Linked DNA regions of Oryzias latipes. Each later gene encodes a partner of the first gene's protein in a complex. Links are inferred from orthologs where the notes say so. Each region holds a gene or a part of one and is shown in the gene's direction. Other genes may lie near its edges.

Region 1 (4,325 bases):
TCAGAGCCCAGAGCGAACACACCATTGTCAACTTACTGAGACTCCGCCATGGAGAGGAGACATTACAAGTAAGTGAGGCTTCTGTTTAAACACTCTTTCTCGTTTTCAGATTTTTAATCATTTGATTTTTCAGAGTGTCACTGCCATTCTGGACTCAGCAAGTAACGATCTGCTGTCAGAATGTCACCGCCGCTCACTAAAGAAAATCGCCAGCCTGCCAGACTCCAATGAAGAAATCGACGACACTATTCTGACATGAGGCGGGAATTACCGACGAAATCAAACCTACCCAGATCGACAAAAGTTCCACAACTTCAGACACACTCAGTGGACAATCTCATTCTGTCCTGCGTGGGCTTGTTGGGAGATGAGCTTTGTTGGTTGAGGTCTTCACGCATACCAGAAATTTCTTTTCTTTCTCAACTTTACATCATCATTTTAGAGGCTTTTAAGCCCAATTTCTTTTTAGTTTTGTTCCTCTCATGTGCAGGTTATTTTCCTGTACTGAACTTTATTTGACAGCCACAATGCCAAATCGGTTTTGATACTTAAGTGTTTTGCTACCTATTTTACCAAAAAAAAAAACATCTGGGATGCCTATGTCATAAAACAACTCCCCATCTCTAACTTTTATTTGGACTTTGTGTGTGACAGTTGTTTGGGAAAGAAACCCATTAAACAACAATCATTGTTATCAATGATAAAGTTGTACAAAGTGATGCAAAATAATAATAAAAAAACATTCACAAAACTGTGCGGAATAATGATTTTCCTCTGTTGGCTGTTGAAAGTCCCACACCGATTATCTTTTGATCTATCTTAAAAGTGTTCCCAGTGGTCTTTAAATTATGAAAAATCTGTTGTTTTCTAGAACATAGTTTCTGCAGAGCGGCAGTAGTTCATTAAAAGTCAACAACCCTCTTAGTCTGTTGGTGCAGAGTAAGCCTTCCATCATTTCCCATCATCCCTTTATTTACACACCCCCTCACAACCCCAATCTACCATTACCGCTGCAACAAAAATGGCGAGTAATATTAGAGCTATCCTGCTGAACAGTTCAGTTTGGAGCCAGACGCCAGCTCAGACGAGGAAAACGAAGACGTTGATGGATCTGTTTGTCTTCATCCAAATGGAGGTGGGCATGGAGCAAATGGCCTACAGGTGACTGGAGCTACAGTGTCACTGCTACAAGATTTTCGTCAGCTCCTGATTCACAACGATTTAAATAAAGAAATACTCAGAAATGCAGTTTCAATCTTAATTTTATGTCTGTCAGAAAATGTAACAAGAACATGATAAAAAAAATACGATTTTTAGTGGAATGGGTCTTTAAAACATTTAGGCTATACCTGTTGATAAAACTGATACACCCTACACTTTGTCGCAAAGTTGTAGATACAATCAGGCTCTTTTGTACATAAATATGCGTGTGAAACCTGGCTGTCCTGCAGCCTCCAGCGTCCCTGTAACCTGCGCTCATCAGTGGGACGTGACGGTGGCGCTGTGGCTGGGGCCTGCGCAGTGGGGCTGGGTCATACTTGGGTGCAGCTCTACCAGAGAAGGAAGCGGAGTTTCCGGCTGTTTGCAGCGGAGTGAGAGGGTTGCTGACGCCGCGAAACCCCGAGGAAGAAGAACGCCGCCGGCTCGGGGGGCCATTAGCTTCATGCATTGATAGTGGCCGGTTGGTTTTATACCGGGAGGTTGTTGAATTGTTTACAAACTTGAGGAGTGGTGCAGCTAATCAAAGGAAGAAGCGGCACAAGGCGGGGGTGAGCTACTAGCTACCGGCATGGCCAGAGACTACGATTACCTCTTCAAGCTGCTCATCATCGGTGACAGCGGTAAGCAGATGCCGGGGATGCGACACGGGAAGTAGGCCTTGTCGGGGTTTCTTTATGAAAAAATCCTTTTAATCGGGAGGGAAAACAGAAACAGTCTGCTACGCCTTCGTTTATTTATTTATTTCGATTTATGTGAAGAAATAAGTATCAAAGAGACAGCCGCCATGTTTCTCTTTCTGTGCCGGTGACAGGGCGGAGGTTGTGTGTCCGGACAGGCACGGCGTGTCAGCCGATCAGGCCGGATACCGCCTACAGATATTCATGGTCCAAGTCAGAAATATTTGAAATTTTCCGCTTTTTTAAATCGGCATATTTTTGTTTTAGCCACACACCAGCTCACTCCGTTTCTCGTGTACCCACGTGAACCAGAACACTCATATTTTGCTGCTTGTTTGTTTTCACCGTAGCTAAAATGTTGGCTAACTTGTAGCTAGGCTAATGTCACGATTTCAGACCTGGTACCGTGGAAAACCACAATTTAACCTGTTCCTTAAAAAAACTGTTTGCTTAGAAATGATCCATAAAAGTGGACTACGTTCACATATTTAGATGAAGCCATTTAGATGAATTTTGTTGGGTAGCCAGCTTGCTAACACGAAAGTATCAGGCAGCTCCTTCGTAAAGGAGGATTGCTGCACTGCAGACGGTGGTTCCAAGCTGAAGTGAGACTAACCAAGTGGTTAGTTTCAACTAAGCCTAAAAGTGCCACAAATATGTCTATTAAACTGTTCAGCTTCAATAGAAGATGTTTGATTCCTGTGTTATAATGAAAACCTGTGTCTCACTGACATACATAGCTCGATGCTGGAGGCCGGTTGTAAATGAGATTACTCCACTAGCGCTCATCAAATCAAACTAACAAAAAAGGGACTTTTCCCATTTGACTCCAACATCAGGAGCAGATGCCAATTGGAAGTCTTTGTGAGCAGTAATCTTTGCTTTCATTGACAGCCCCATTCCTGGCACTGCTGCTCCATCATCAGCTGGGCGGTCAGTCAGTGTGATGAACACAGAAGCCAGTGTGCACAGCTGCAAAAAGCAGGCATCATCTGGGAAAGATGTGCTAACCCTCTGCACCTATCCTATGTAGCATTAACAAATACACCGCTGCTATGTTGTCCAACAAACTACCTTGGCTTATGTTGGAGGGATTTTAAATATAGATCAATTTTGTAACAAATATGATTCACTACTTTATTAAGAATCATCCAGTTATTGAAGCTCTAGGCTGCAGATGCTGGTGCTTTAAGTTTGGCTGGTTCTGTTGCATCGAGTGTTTGTCAGGGATTTTTGGTTTGGAGAGCGGATGAGCGTTCATAGTCAGTCCCTCCTGCTATGAAGTGTGGTTATTATTCGATCAAACAAATCTTTGCCGAGTAGGGATTGCAGGAACCTCAGAGCTTCTATATTAGGACCTAAGAAAAAAGCAGCTGACAATGACACTAAAAGGAATAAATACATGTCCTGACTACAGTCTTAATTTGAACTTCTAATCAAAAATAGAATCTGTGAAGGACACCTTATAGATCCTCTTGACTTCCACTTCCCCCCCTCCGGTTTATTTATTTTGTTACTAGTGTATTTGGTGTTTTGACCATCATCTTTCCATCTGATTGAGTATTCTTCTATTAAAAAATAAAGTATAATGTGACCTTTTTTTTTTACCTCACTGTGTAAATCAATCCTTATATGCAGAAGGATTACACCACTGTTGATGTTCCCACACTTGCTGCCTTAAAATGTTGCAGGTAGATTATATGGTGGCATGTAAAATCCCCTAAAACTTCTGAAACTACCGTGAGGTTTTGTTGGACAGATTCCAGTCAAATCCTGTTGAAAAATGTTGGTAAAAGTGGTGTGTGTGTGTCTTGATGTCATATATCTGCGTGAAAACCTCTTCCTGTGCTTGTGTTTCCTCTGCAGGAGTGGGGAAGAGCAGTCTCCTCCTGCGATTTGCAGACAACACATTTTCAGGTGTGTGGCTCTGTCTCGGCTGTGACTCAGACTCGAGGCTTTCGACATTACCACTGCTTCTCAGTCAAACTTTTTGTTGTCGTGGTTTTCTATTACCGTTTTATAGGTAGCTATATCACCACGATCGGTGTAGACTTTAAGATCCGGACAGTGGAGATCAACGGGGAGAAGGTGAAGCTTCAGATCTGGGACACGGCAGGGCAGGAGCGCTTTCGCACCATCACCTCCACGTACGTAGATTTACACTTAACCTTTCATGAAACCAGGTAAAGCTCTTTGTGGTTTTTGGATTGGCTTTCATATCAGCAGTTGGCTGACGTCTACAGCCACTCTTTTTTTTTTTTTTTTTTTTTTACTGTGAAACTGGGTGTATTTCCCTTCTTTTTGTAATTACAGATGTAAAAGGGAGGCTCCTACATGGTGGCAGCAGCTGTGTCTTTTTATTTGTGTTACAAAGTTGTCCAGAAGCTTCCATATGTTGCCAACATTAATTTTTCTTTAAAAAAAAAA
Region 2 (4,166 bases), on another chromosome or scaffold:
GTCTGAATCTCCCCTACAACCCACCTTTTCCCCTCCTGAGAAAACCCCCGAACAAATGACTGAGAGGAACATTATCAGAATCAGAAAGAGTTAATTGCCAGTATGTGCATATATATAAAAAATTTTGATTGGAGTGCTCGGCCTGACAAATGAAATTAAGTGAAAATTGTAGCAGCAAGAGTAGTTAAATAGTGGCGCAATAAAATCACAACTGTGGCAAGCACCTCAGCTTTTGTGCAAAAGCATATTAGTCATACTTTAGAGCAGGGGTCCCACAATCATTGAGAGGCCTTGAGGGTTGGTGCCGTGTGTTTTCCAACCAACCTCCCATTTTAAAGCTCCTTTTTTGGCTAAACTCACCTGATCCACGTAATCATCACCAAATAAGGCAGTTGAAACAATTGGACATTTAGGCCATGTGCCAGTCCTGCACTTAACCAACTGAGCCATCCAGCTGGTGAACAACATTGATTAAGCAAACATTTTGAATGCAAATCACCATTTGTTACTTTGTAATCAGTAATGGTCAAACGCTTGGAAGTATGAGATCAGTGAAGTCTCACTCTGATCATATTTTTAGCCCAACTCGAAACTCCTTTTCTGGGAAGTAATTTCTGCAGCAGTAGTTCATCAAAAATTTGCCTATGAGTTGTGGGCGGAAATGTTGGCATGAGTAAGCACCCCCCCCCCCCCCCATTTCCCATCATCCATTGGTTTCCAGTCTCTCCGGCTACCTTACAGCCCCTCACACCCCCAACCTAACCTCATCGCGAGCAATATTGATGCTATCCAGCTGTCCAGTTTTCAGCCAGGTACCAGCTCAGACGAGGAAAACCAAGACGTACATTGATTTAGTCATCCACAGTGGATGGAGCTGGTGGCCTGCTCATTGTAGCTTCTACATCACAGCTATGATCTTTTTTTAAATGCATTTTTTTGTCTGCTCCTGATTCACAACAATTTGAATAAAGAAATACTCTGAACTGCAATTTTAATCTTTATTTTCTTAACATATGTCCTCCATCAAAAAAATATCACAAGTTGAAAACAGCAGAAACACAATCTTCTTGAGAGTGAGTCTTTAACCTGAAAGGACAATAGTGTCTAAACTTTGAGCAATTATGGAAACAGTCACTTTTGAAAAGTAATATATACAGCATATTGATATATGAAGCAGTGCAAAAATATATAAATATATGTGAATACATTCATATTATTATATTTAAAAATAATTAAATGCTGTAGAATTGAATACCCTTAGCAAAAACCAGTACTCTTGAAGTTGATAAATAGGAACATTTCCAATTTATAGATAGTTTATAAAAAGTAAGGTTCAAGTACGCTGCTTCACTTTTAGTAACTACTTAGATGAACAAAAAGAGCACCTCAAATGACCCAGTCGACCTTTGTCATGGTATACTAAATACATATGTAGTAGTTTGATTCAGCACGTGAGTAACGCGTTTGTGTTTAGGGACGTTCTTTGTAAAGTGAATGCTAAAAACTAAGTATGAAAATTATAAAAAATATAGGTTAAATAAAGCATTTCAAACAACCTTCCATTTGGACTCCTTTCATATTGAAGACTCGCGCCACCGTAAGAAGCTGTGCCCGCGCGACGCGCTGACGTCACCAAATCTTTGACAGAACTTCCTGGAGTGGGATTTGTTGTGGGAAATAGTCACGGTGGTGCTGAATTGTGGGTTTCACAGCAGGCCACATATACGATAGAAAAGACAGCCTACACTGCGACATTCCGCCACCTTCAAACATGAGGTCATTGCAGCTCTCTGTCGGGATCAGATGAGACGTCGGAGGACGTGACAGCTGAGACAGAGGAAGGACGGGGTGCTTACATTCACGCAGCAGAGCCGCCGACAGCACGGAGCTGTCGGGATGTTGTAACCAAACCATGGACTGCAGGATAAAGTAAGCCCTTCGAGTTTCGTGTGCGCCTGTCGTCCCTCCGCCGACAGCGGTCGTGCTAACGGCTAACGTGGGGGCGAAGACACGTAGCGTTAACCCGGAGCCGCATGCCATGTGCAGGAATGTTTAGCGTAATTCGTGCCATCTCCAGCAGTGGATTTAACTGCCAGGCCAGCTGGCTCGACAGCATTATTTGGGTCAGTCTGTTGTTGTTAACTACCTGAACGTCAATTAGCGGACCGACAGCTTTAGTAATTAGTCAACGTGGAAATGAAGCAAAACACCCAGTGACCCACTAGTTAGTCAGGTTAACGCTTTTATGGTTAGATAACGCAACTTAAATATTAGTACTTGTTGAATATCTGCCTAATTTATACAGTATATTGTTATTTGCACGTGCGCAGAATCGTTTTAAACGGATCTCTTTAGGCGTTATTATCACACCACCAGCACCTGCAGTCAGTCCTCTCATCAAACACCCTTTTGATTTTCAGGGAGAATCCAGAAAGAACATTTGATCTGGTGTTGCAAGTGGCATGTCCAACATCTGAGAATGAGGGTAGGTAGTTCACACAGCTCACTATCATGAGTTCAAACCATTAAAAAAAAAAAAAAAAAATGAATAAAGTTTTACATTTTATTTTGGAAACCGGAATTTTTTATTTGATGATATCCAATGTTTCCACTTACCATATTCCATTTTTGCTAAAAGATCATTATGTCCCATAAACTGTTTCTAACGCCAGCAGTTGTTAGCAAGCAGAACAACACAAAAATCCTAGTCTTTATTTATTTATTTATTTTTTATTTATTTATTTTCTTTAGGTTAGGGATCTGCAACCTTTATGCTAAAAGAGCCATTTTGGTCCAGTTTCTTATTGACCAAAACCTAAGTTCCCTTCAAAATAAAATAGCCGGTGTCAAAAGGGATTCTCCTGCTTCAGCAGATTTTATTTGAATTAAAAATTCAAGAAAACCAAATTAAACATGACCTTTCTACAATTGTGACTTTGATGCACCATCATCCTTTTTCTCATTTTACTATCCAATATAAACATGCCTCATTGATTTTTAAACAAATGTATATGTGCATTAAGCTTCTTCTAATTATAGAAACCACTCTTACCAATATTTTTCTCAGTTATGTTAAAGTTCTAAATATAAATGACAGAACCGAATTAGCTACAAGAAACTAACAAAACAGTCATTTTTCTTCTCATAAATGGTTAGCATTTTTCTCTAAAGCCAAAGAGTCACAATAGATGGATGGAGGAGCTCTTGAGCCTCAGGTTGCAGACCCCCTGATTTAGGTGAAAAATCGCTTTTTGTCCAAAAAGTAATTTATTAAATCATATTGTTGAAAAAAAGTTTACTTTAATATATGTTATCACACAAACGTGGTTGTGTCTACTTGAATGCTAAAATGATGGCTTTAGTGTAGTCTGTTATTTTAGTCATTGTTTGAGTGTGCACTGTTACATTAACGTGAGAAAGTAGGGTGACTGTGGATAATGAGAGTAGTGATTATGGCTGTTGTCATATAATTTTAGTCTGCTTCTTGAATCACTCTGTCAAGCACAAGACTCTGAAATCTGTATGAAACATAAGTTGGCTTATGATCTTATGATATCGGTTTACAGTGCGTGTCTTAGGATAAATACACTTTTATGTGTGCTTACTTTTGCAACTATTGCCCCACTTAGTTTTTTAAAATCTTATGGTGGATTGATTTGCCACTTGCAGTGGTTAAACATTCCAGCACCGATGGCCTGTATAATAAACCTTGAAATGAATGCGGTCAGTGAAGAATAACTCTTCTCTGCTTTTTATTAATATGGGAAATAAAGTAACGGGAATTTCACATCAATATCCAGTGGCATTTGTAAGTCAATTGTAATGTAAAAACATTTTCACTGCTTATTGCACCCACTCTCCTGTTTTGGCCTTTCAGTTCAGACTTTAAAGAGGTGTTATTGGATGCTTCACTTGTGCAGCTGCTGAGCTGACTTGAGCAGACGGACTGAAAGTTGTCCTTGGGTGTAGTTCTCATATTGGATTTTCAACCGAACTCATAAACCGCCGGCCTTTGCTGTAATAACTGACTTCCTTCATGTGTGATCTGGGGTCAGACTCATATCCGGACTCCTGTTCCCTGGAGCATAGCTGCAGAGCAACGTTTGCACGCCTCGGGTCAAGTTGAAAACACAGATTCGACTGGATCATTCCAGGTGCTCTCTCTG
Region 3 (4,079 bases), about 25 Mb from region 1:
GCTGTTCAGGTTTCTTCACCAAAACTATCTGGGCTTCATTTCCCGGCACATTCTGGAGAAAAATGGGACTTTTAGTTTGGTGGTTTGCCTGTACGGTTCTGAAGGACCAATAGCAGAACAACACAGATGACGCTCGAAACTGACAGAAAATGTGACATGGCTTTGGTTATAACCACACCTGTGATGTGAGAACGTGAGAACCCCTTCAACGGGTTCTATTCTAGGCAGGTAAAGGCAGCTGTTCCTCTGTGTGACGGTTCTGAAGGACCAGAACCACTGGTGGATTTTCTTTGGGTTGAAACTTTTTCACAGAAGGAAATAGTTTCTATGGAAGAGGAAACACAAAGAATGTATGTCCCTGAAAGACAGATGTACAGAACGGAGACGCTCGTCCTGCCCAAAGGGTCCCACAGAGACCAGAAACTAGATCTACTGACACCTTTATGCCAAAGTCGCCGTCGTTTAGGTTTAAAGATGCTCTTATTGGTATTTTGGTGGAGACTGAGCTCAGAATCATCAGAAAACACTGATGCTCTGATCCCAAACAAACGCCAGAGCTTCTCGCTGTCATGGTCTCTGCTGTCGGTCCAGCTTCACGTCTCCCACGTCATGTTATGGGCGGGGCGCGGGGGGCACATGCCTGAAGGAAATCACTATTTTCATAATTAACAATGTCTGGATGTTACAGACAGCTTCATTTAGGATGAATTCAGCACTATACTGCTGGACACTTAGCCATCTGTCCGTCCATCATTTTCTGGACCTGCATTATCCCTATTAGGGCCATGTGGTTGCTGGAGCCTATCCCAGCCACCACTGGGTGAAGGTGGACCGGTCCCCTCTGCAGGAACGTTCACCCTGAAGGGGCAGTTTGGGGTCTCCAATGCAGCTATGCAGCATGATTCTGGACTGTGGGAGGAGCCTGGAGAACCCACACATGAAGAACATGCAAACTCCACACAGAGTGAACCCTGATGGGATTTGAACCTGTGGCAGGGGAGTGGAAACCACTACCCCAGCGTCCAGTCCAGCCAACAGACCATCACATTCACATAGCCCCTCCTTCTCAGAGTTTTGCCCCTCCCATTAGCCCTCTTAATTGATCTTAATTGACCCTCAAAGTGATTGGGGAGGGGGGTCAGCAAAGTGGCAGGCCGTGGTCATGTTGGGGGGGGGGGGCAGTGTGACCTTGGCCTTTGATGTTGTTTGTCTGCCGCTGTGCGTAAATAACGGGTTTCGGTGCAGGAGGTGGAGCTGGTGGAGTGACCGGCAGGGTGGGGGCCAGCTGCCCACCCCCGCAGTTGGATAATCTGGTGTGGGACGACAGAGCGACCTCGCGCTGACGTGAGGCATGCGCCCCTCCCATCCCACGCCGCCTCCACCGGAGAAAACAACGGAGAGCAGCAGCTCCGTCATCTCTGCTTCCCGCCGTCGTTGTTATCACGGTAAGAGGAGAAATAACAGCTTACGTTGGTGTCCGGTAAGAGCAGGGCGGAGGCCCGTTAAACGCCACCGTTCGTGCGCGCGCGTCAGTAAAGGACGTGTCTGTGAATCTTCAGCACCGACATTTTTCCTGGATGACTTCGAACGGCTTTTAACTTAACGGCGTTTAACGGTTCGTAACGGCGTTTGTAACGGGGAGCTCGTCAAGCAGCTGGGGCGGCTGCGTGTTACGCCTGCTGGCTTCTTACGTCATCGCTGCTGTTTCTGCGTTTCTCTGCGGGTTTCTAGAATCTGCGGGTCGCTCTGGAATGGCTCAGTCGGTCCTTTCATCTCCTTTCATCCGCGGGAAAACAATGACATAACGCGGCCTCGTCAGCGGCCTTCATCCAGGGGCGGCTCCGCGGTTTCCGGGGATCAAGGTGGGCAGGAGCCATTGTTGAAAGGGGGGACAACAGGAAGTAACTGAACCCCCCCACCTGAAGACATTTCCCTTCAGGTGTGTTTCAGCGCCGATTCTATCAGGAGTTTCATGTTTAATAAGGTCTCAGACGTCAATCAAGCAGGAAACATGTTTTATTATCTGATCAATGAATGTCTTTTCATTGCTTTTTTAAAATCTCTTTTGTGAAACTAGCTTTCACCAGATTTCTCTTCAGTGATTTTGACAAGTTTCCTTTGAAGTTTGGTTGCTGAAGCTGTCGGGACGTTTGGTGCCTTTTAACTCGTCTTGCTCATTACCGGTTTATGCTGATCCCATCACGGAGCTTTTCCAGGATTAGAGCCTCAGACTCTCTCAGACGTCAGACGTACGTCTTTTTCCTCTGTAGTCCCCCCCCCCCGGTCAGGTCCACGTCTGTTGGAGCTGGAAGATTGTTTTGGTGGAGGTTCTGGTGGTCTTGCAGATCCTTGTAACGGTTCTGGTTCTGTTAGGGCTTTGCATCAGAATACTGTCTTTGTGTAAGACTTCCATCTGGAATCAGTCCCGGTGAGGTGAGGAGGACGTCCCGCAGAGGAGGACGTCCTCTTGAAGACGTCCCCCTGAGGACGTCCTTTATGTGACCAGCTCATACCCTTTAGGCCTGTGTTTTGTTGTCTTTGACCTCCTGACCTTTTACCGCTCAAATGTAGCTCCTCCCACCCTATTAAGCTTTCAGTTTAGGGCACATGCAGGCAGTGGCCCTGTGGTGGAGTGTCTGTCCCTTGGGTTACATCTGGTGGTGCCAAAGACAAAAGTAGACTCTTTGCATTGGTGGTTGGATTGGGGGGGTTGACTCACAGAGTATGGCTGTAGCTGCTCCCTGTGTGTGTGTGTGTGTGTGTGTGTGGGGGGGGGGGGTGCATCAGGTGCTGGGACTCAAACCATAACTGACCCACGGTCTGTCTTTTGGCAGATGCCCCCCACCGCAGACCTTCCTGACCCGTCCTTCCAGACGTCTGGGATTCCCGCAGAGCCGGGCGCCGCCTGAAAACCGCCACCGTTTCCCTGCGCCTCCAGTCGGCTGTGGACCATGGACGGCCCCCCCCAGCTGTCTGGGGAGACCCTGATCGTGCATCACATCCCGCTGGTGCACTGCCAGGTGTCGGGGGGCCGGCAGGGAGACTGTGGGAACTCGCTAAGGAGCGGCAGCCCCTTCAGCCCCCCAGAGAACCTGGGGCTGAGCCGCACCACCTCCCTGCCGGAGCGAGATGTCCTCCAGAGAGAAGCTCTGCTCTACAGCAGCCTGATCCACACCTCCAGCAGCTCCTGGTCCTCCCACTCCGGAGGAGGAGCAGAAACAAAGAGGGGGGGCAGCACGGCCAGTGGAAACTCGTCTTTTACTTCCAGTATTTCAGAGGAGCAGCTCCCTGCTGTGCACACGCTTCCCAGAGCCAAACCCCGGAGCGAGACCCCTTCACGCCACAACCCCTTCCTGCTGCACGCAGAGGAGGAGGAGGAGGAGGAGGAGGAGGAGGACCACAGCCTGAGTGGATACCTGGAGGACTCCTCCTTCCTCCTCCACAGCGACACTAGCGGTGTCGGTGGGACGGCTGCCTTTCATTTGCACCATCTGGACTTTGCTGCTGAGCCTTTTGTTTTGCACGGATCGGAGGGAAAGAGGCGGGACTCCTTTAGGGGCGTGGCCTCTGACCTGGACAGCCGGCGCTGCCTGGGAAGCAGCGGCTCCAACACGTCCATGGACTGTGGAGAGCAGGACTGGGCGGACGACAACGAAGTCGAGGATCAGTCCATGAGGTGCGGCCGATGCAGCAAGCCGGGTTCGGACTCGTCGGGGTCGACCTCGCAGCTCTGCTCCTTCTGCGACCCGACGCACTGCCAGCACAACTTCCCCGACGCCTTCTCCGACTTCCAGCCGGCCTACGGCAGCGACTCGTCCTGCAACAGCTCCGACGGCGTCCTGGTCAACTTCAGCGCCATCTTCAACAAGATGAACAATGGCATCCGTGAGAAACCGGCCCGGTCCGGTTCAGCCAACTTGAACCTCGAGGGTTTCGAGGGGCCGGGCCAGACTGCAGGAGCTTTCTACCTGGACCTCCACACTTCGCCAACTGAGCCTCTGCAGCCCCCCCCCTGCCTGTCCAACAACCTCCCCGTCTCCTCCACCTGCTCCTGCTCTGCCGAGTACCAGGGGGCTCTG
Region 4 (3,560 bases), on another chromosome or scaffold:
ATAGATGGGGTTGCCACAGGCATGTCCTCAATGTACCTGAATTACTGTCTTCTCCCTTTTTTCCACAGTCTAGTCTCACAAAGTTTGCAGAGAGCCTGCAGGAGATGATCAATTATCACACGGTACGTCATCACTTATTTAAAGAGGATGGGTTTATGTACTGTTACAGCTTCTGTTGAAATTTATTTGTGGAAAAGAGCTGCAGAGGAAAGCGTAGTTGCGGCCCAAACTCTTTGAAGAAAAAGGATTAAACATGTTTTCTTTTAGATATATACTTTGTGGTTTAAAGTGAGCAAAGTGGCTGTCGTCTAACTTCACTCTGAAGCAGGCTCTGCAAGGAAAAAAATGGGCCTTTCCTGGTCTTTTATTTTAAACAATGGCCAGTTTATTACTTTTTTTGACTGTTCTGTCCAACAGCTAAGCAAGCAGATTAGAGCTGAAAGCCATTTGTGTTGGACAGGTTTTACCATCACAAAAACAGGTTATAGAACTTCAAGAAACTAGAGTGTAGATTTGTATAAACCCCTTTTTGTTGTATTATTTTTATTTATTAGTTACATTTAGTGTGTGGGGGGAGGGAGAGGGGAAGAATGTGAGAGGGGGGGTGGAAGAGAGTAAAAGGAAGAGAGCTGAGAAAGTGGGGGATACAAGTACTGATTTGAATAAGTCATTATTTTAAGCTGTAACAATTATACCAGATCTGCTGGAAAGACAAATATTACATCAAAGGTGAAATTCTGACACGAAGATGAGCGGAAAATGTCTGTCCATCAATACACTGTGGGTTAGGAGGAGGGATGAAGCAGACAGGGAGCAGTGTGGCAGTGTGCACGTGCACGTGGGGGTGGAGATACATGCATGCTGCCGACGTGAACCGTGTGTGCATAAGGGGAACCAGCCAGCCAGAACGGGAGAGGGGAGGAGAGACCCCCAGGCCAGGAGCGCCCCGGCATCGGGACTCAAGCAGCCCGGGAGGGGGGGGGGTTTGGTTTCAGTTTATTACTGAAAGCAAAGGAAAGAAAAAGAAATGAAAACTGAAATATTCAGGGGTTTTGTCATTAAAAGGTAGATAGGCCTTCAAAAAATGACAGAAATCAGAACTGAGAAGAGATATTTGCCAAAGATTTGTTGGAGAATTTGTGAACTGCCAAAAGAATCTTTGAAATCTGTTTTTATACAAAGACATTGATGAAAAAAAGCCGCAATTTTAATTCTGTTTAACTTCACACAAAAATAAAGTGTCAACATTTCGACTGAAATGTTGCTTATTCAACAAATATAATGCCAATAACTGTAATTAGACACAATTTTATAAAAACTCTTTAGAAATGGTTAATTGAGAGGTGCACTGATAACCCAGATTATGTTAACTCCTGTTAGATTAACAATAAGCATGTCTACATTTAAAAAGTTAATATAATCCCAGTGGTTCAATTTTATGACCACCAAGATGTAAAGAAACATCCCTGTCATGTTTGACCTTTCTAAATTTGTTTAACCAAGATTAATTGTACATTTATGTTTTATCTTACTAGGACTACTGATAACTTTATATTATATTGAAAAGTATGCTGATAGCGTTCTACTATATTGACCTTTTCATTCCCATGACAACCTAATATGACATGTCCCTAAGTATAATTTATTTACAATTTTTCAGGAATTCTTTAAAAAATGTTTAAAGAAATACCATACAAAACTACTGACCACTTTAAATTCTATTATTATTATTGTTTTACTAATATTTTCTGTAAAAATACATTCACATTCGCTTTTTACAACCTTATTTCTGTGGCAAATGAGTTCTTAAATAAAAAAGATGTCTTTGATGTTTTTTACACAAAGAAAAGCAATGTGGGAGGAAGACCACAGTGACTTAGTGACTGAGTTTTCACCACGTCCTCCTCCTAACCTTCCAGTCTCCTCTACCAGGAAGTCTCCAGGAGCCGCAGTGCAGGCCTGCAACTCTTACTCATCACAGGAGACTCTGACCACATCAGCTGACTGTCTGATAGCTTTTTGCCACTCAGCGATCTTCTGGTGCATATTGGTTTTTCCCTGCCACGCAGCTCATGTTGGCTTTTCTTGGAGCAAAAGATCAATTAAAAGTCCTTATTAGGAAAACAAACAAAACTAGTGTGTTTCGGTGAAACTCATTTTTAAGGAAACGTGAGTTAATGAGAGTATAAGTCAAATACAGAAAACGACCCACCACATCATGTCTTCTGTTTATGTCTTTTATGAGGGGATTTTACTGAGTCAGCTTGTTTGTGTAAATTTAACAGCTTAATTGCACCCGCTGTTGTTAACAAAGCCTCTTTAGACAGAAATGCTGAATGCTAAAGTGGCCTTGAAAAGGAATGTATTTATCAGCTTTTTTCCTGAGTTTCAGACTGTGTTATCCTGTTTGTGCCTCAATTTTCCATCGAGTTTCTAAAAAGTCAAACTCTTTTCTTTACAGATATTGTTTGATCAGGCCCAGAGATCCATAAAAAATCAGCTGCAAACATTTGTTAAAGAGTGAGTATCAATTTAATAATTAAAAACTGGGGGAAAAAAAGTTTTTGATCTACAAAATGTCTGTTCTGTATGCTCACATCTTGGAGAAATTTGTATCAAAATATCAATTTATTGCTTGTTATTCTTACCTTAAAAGATAAGATTGTTTGTATGGTAAATAGTGGTGCCTGATGATTTTTTTTATTATTCGACTTTTATAATCACTATTTGCCTAATGTTGTATATTCCATGTTTTGTAATAAAAAAAGTATGGGGATCTGTCAATAAGAAAAATTTTCATAAAGACAAAGTTGTGCACAAATTAATAATCTTTGCACAACTTTGCAAAAAAAATATAAATACAAATTTAGTTTTACGTTTAGCTTGTCTGTTTTGAACACGATTTTTCTTTGTTTTGAATTTGACTCTTGCTTGTCTTGAATACGAAATTTCCCCGTTAACAAACTGTCAAAAAAACCTTGCGGGGTCACAGGTGTAAACATCGAGTCCCGAAACATCGATTGTGTTTAACGTTTTTATAATTAGCTATAATAATACTTAAAAAAAATGTGACCTAAAAAAAATTTCAGTTGTCCTGATATAGTTATTGTTCACCTTAAACTCAGAAAGAAGAAAAACTTTTTTTCACAGCCTGGGGCCTCATTTATAAAACTTTGCGTAGGATTTGCGTCAGAAGTGGCGTACGGATGAAACGTAGGACGTGCGTACGCACAGAAATATTCAGAGTTATAAAACCGTGCGCATGCACATCCTACGCATCTTTCCCTTAATAAATCACAACCAATTCTAAATGCTGCGCAGCTTTTGCGGCCTCATCACACGCCCATAGTTGCCCATAAATAGTCCGTGAAACGCCCACAAATGAATATTCATTGATTGCGAAACCATGCCAAACACGGAGAGAAAATCAAAAAAACGTAACTTCACTCAATGTGAAGTAGAAGTTATCGTTGGCGAGGTGGAAAAGAGGAGAAAAGTGTTGTTTGGAGGGCACAGTGTGGGCATTACTAATGCCAAAAAGGCACGTGAGTGGCAGACGC

Evidence for each region.
Region 2: the proteins of rab35 (region 1) and dennd1b are in contact, whole or in part, in a crystal structure (PDB 3TW8), measured with the Homo sapiens proteins. The link is inferred for Oryzias latipes from reciprocal best matches to the Homo sapiens genes RAB35 and DENND1B. Residues at the interface, in NP_006852.1 of Homo sapiens: Lys10, Leu12, Ser17, Ser36, Tyr37, Ile38, Thr39, Thr40, Ile41, Gly42, Val43, Asp44, Phe45, Gln60, Trp62, Thr64, Ala65, Gly66, Arg69, Phe70, Arg71, Thr72, Ile73, Thr74, Ser75, Thr76, Tyr77, Arg79, Gly80, Thr81; in NP_001182144.1 of Homo sapiens: Met1, Arg4, Glu43, Ser47, Phe51, Val72, Leu73, Thr74, Asp75, Ile76, Glu77, Ser78, His211, Glu212, Arg213, Arg214, Gln242, His243, Ile244, Ile246, Leu249, His252, Leu253, Asp255, Tyr256, Cys258, Ala259, Pro260, Met261, Pro262.
Region 3: the proteins of rab35 (region 1) and iporin-like are in contact, whole or in part, in a crystal structure (PDB 6IF2), measured with the Homo sapiens proteins. The link is inferred for Oryzias latipes from reciprocal best matches to the Homo sapiens genes RAB35 and RUSC2. Residues at the interface, in NP_006852.1 of Homo sapiens: Asp4, Tyr5, Leu8, Phe9, Lys10, Ser22, Leu26, Asp30, Ile38, Thr40, Val43, Asp44, Phe45, Lys46, Ile47, Lys58, Gln60, Trp62, Thr76, Arg79, Gly80, His82; in NP_001129471.2 of Homo sapiens: Val997, Lys998, Asn1001, Asp1005, Val1008, Thr1013, Arg1015, Lys1020, Glu1119, Glu1155, Leu1158, Leu1159, Gln1161, Pro1162, Leu1165, Leu1166.
Region 4: the proteins of rab35 (region 1) and acap2 are in contact, whole or in part, in a crystal structure (PDB 6IF3), measured with the Homo sapiens proteins. The link is inferred for Oryzias latipes from reciprocal best matches to the Homo sapiens genes RAB35 and ACAP2. Residues at the interface, in NP_006852.1 of Homo sapiens: Arg3, Asp4, Tyr5, Leu8, Ile41, Gly42, Val43, Asp44, Phe45, Ile47, Lys58, Gln60, Trp62, Phe70, Arg71, Thr72, Ile73, Thr76, Arg79; in NP_036419.3 of Homo sapiens: Val715, Ala718, Asn719, Ala720, Asp721, Val723, Thr724, Arg727, Leu728, Arg730, Met731, Glu734, Met735, Ser738, Glu748, Thr749, Gln751, Arg755, Asp756, Gln759, Met760.

What each region holds. Positions count from the first base shown.
Region 1 is NC_019867.2:25,726,993-25,731,317, reverse strand, and holds the start of rab35 (ras-related protein Rab-35), read left to right. Parts: upstream 1-1,518; 5' UTR 1,519-1,789; coding exon 1,790-1,841; intron 1,842-3,764; coding exon 3,765-3,815; intron 3,816-3,921; coding exon 3,922-4,045; intron 4,046-4,325. Other genes in the region: eIF-2-alpha kinase activator GCN1, read left to right, coding at 1-68, 134-259. UniProt on the Homo sapiens protein: The small GTPases Rab are key regulators of intracellular membrane trafficking, from the formation of transport vesicles to their fusion with membranes.
Region 2 is NC_019862.2:14,380,537-14,384,702, reverse strand, and holds the start of dennd1b (DENN domain-containing protein 1B), read left to right. Parts: upstream 1-1,361; 5' UTR 1,362-1,912; coding exon 1,913-1,929; intron 1,930-2,420; coding exon 2,421-2,485; intron 2,486-4,166. UniProt on the Homo sapiens protein: Guanine nucleotide exchange factor (GEF) for RAB35 that acts as a regulator of T-cell receptor (TCR) internalization in TH2 cells. Acts by promoting the exchange of GDP to GTP, converting inactive GDP-bound RAB35 into its active GTP-bound form.
Region 3 is NC_019867.2:448,246-452,324, reverse strand, and holds the start of iporin-like, read left to right. Parts: upstream 1-1,259; 5' UTR 1,260-1,445; intron 1,446-1,461; exon of another isoform or gene 1,462-1,939; intron 1,940-2,834; 5' UTR 2,835-2,951; coding exon 2,952-4,079. UniProt on the Homo sapiens protein: Associates with the adapter-like complex 4 (AP-4) and may therefore play a role in vesicular trafficking of proteins at the trans-Golgi network.
Region 4 is NC_019862.2:12,591,582-12,595,141, forward strand, and holds part of acap2 (arf-GAP with coiled-coil, ANK repeat and PH domain-containing protein 2), read left to right. Parts: intron 1-68; coding exon 69-122; intron 123-2,461; coding exon 2,462-2,520; intron 2,521-3,560. UniProt on the Homo sapiens protein: GTPase-activating protein (GAP) for ADP ribosylation factor 6 (ARF6). Doesn't show GAP activity for RAB35.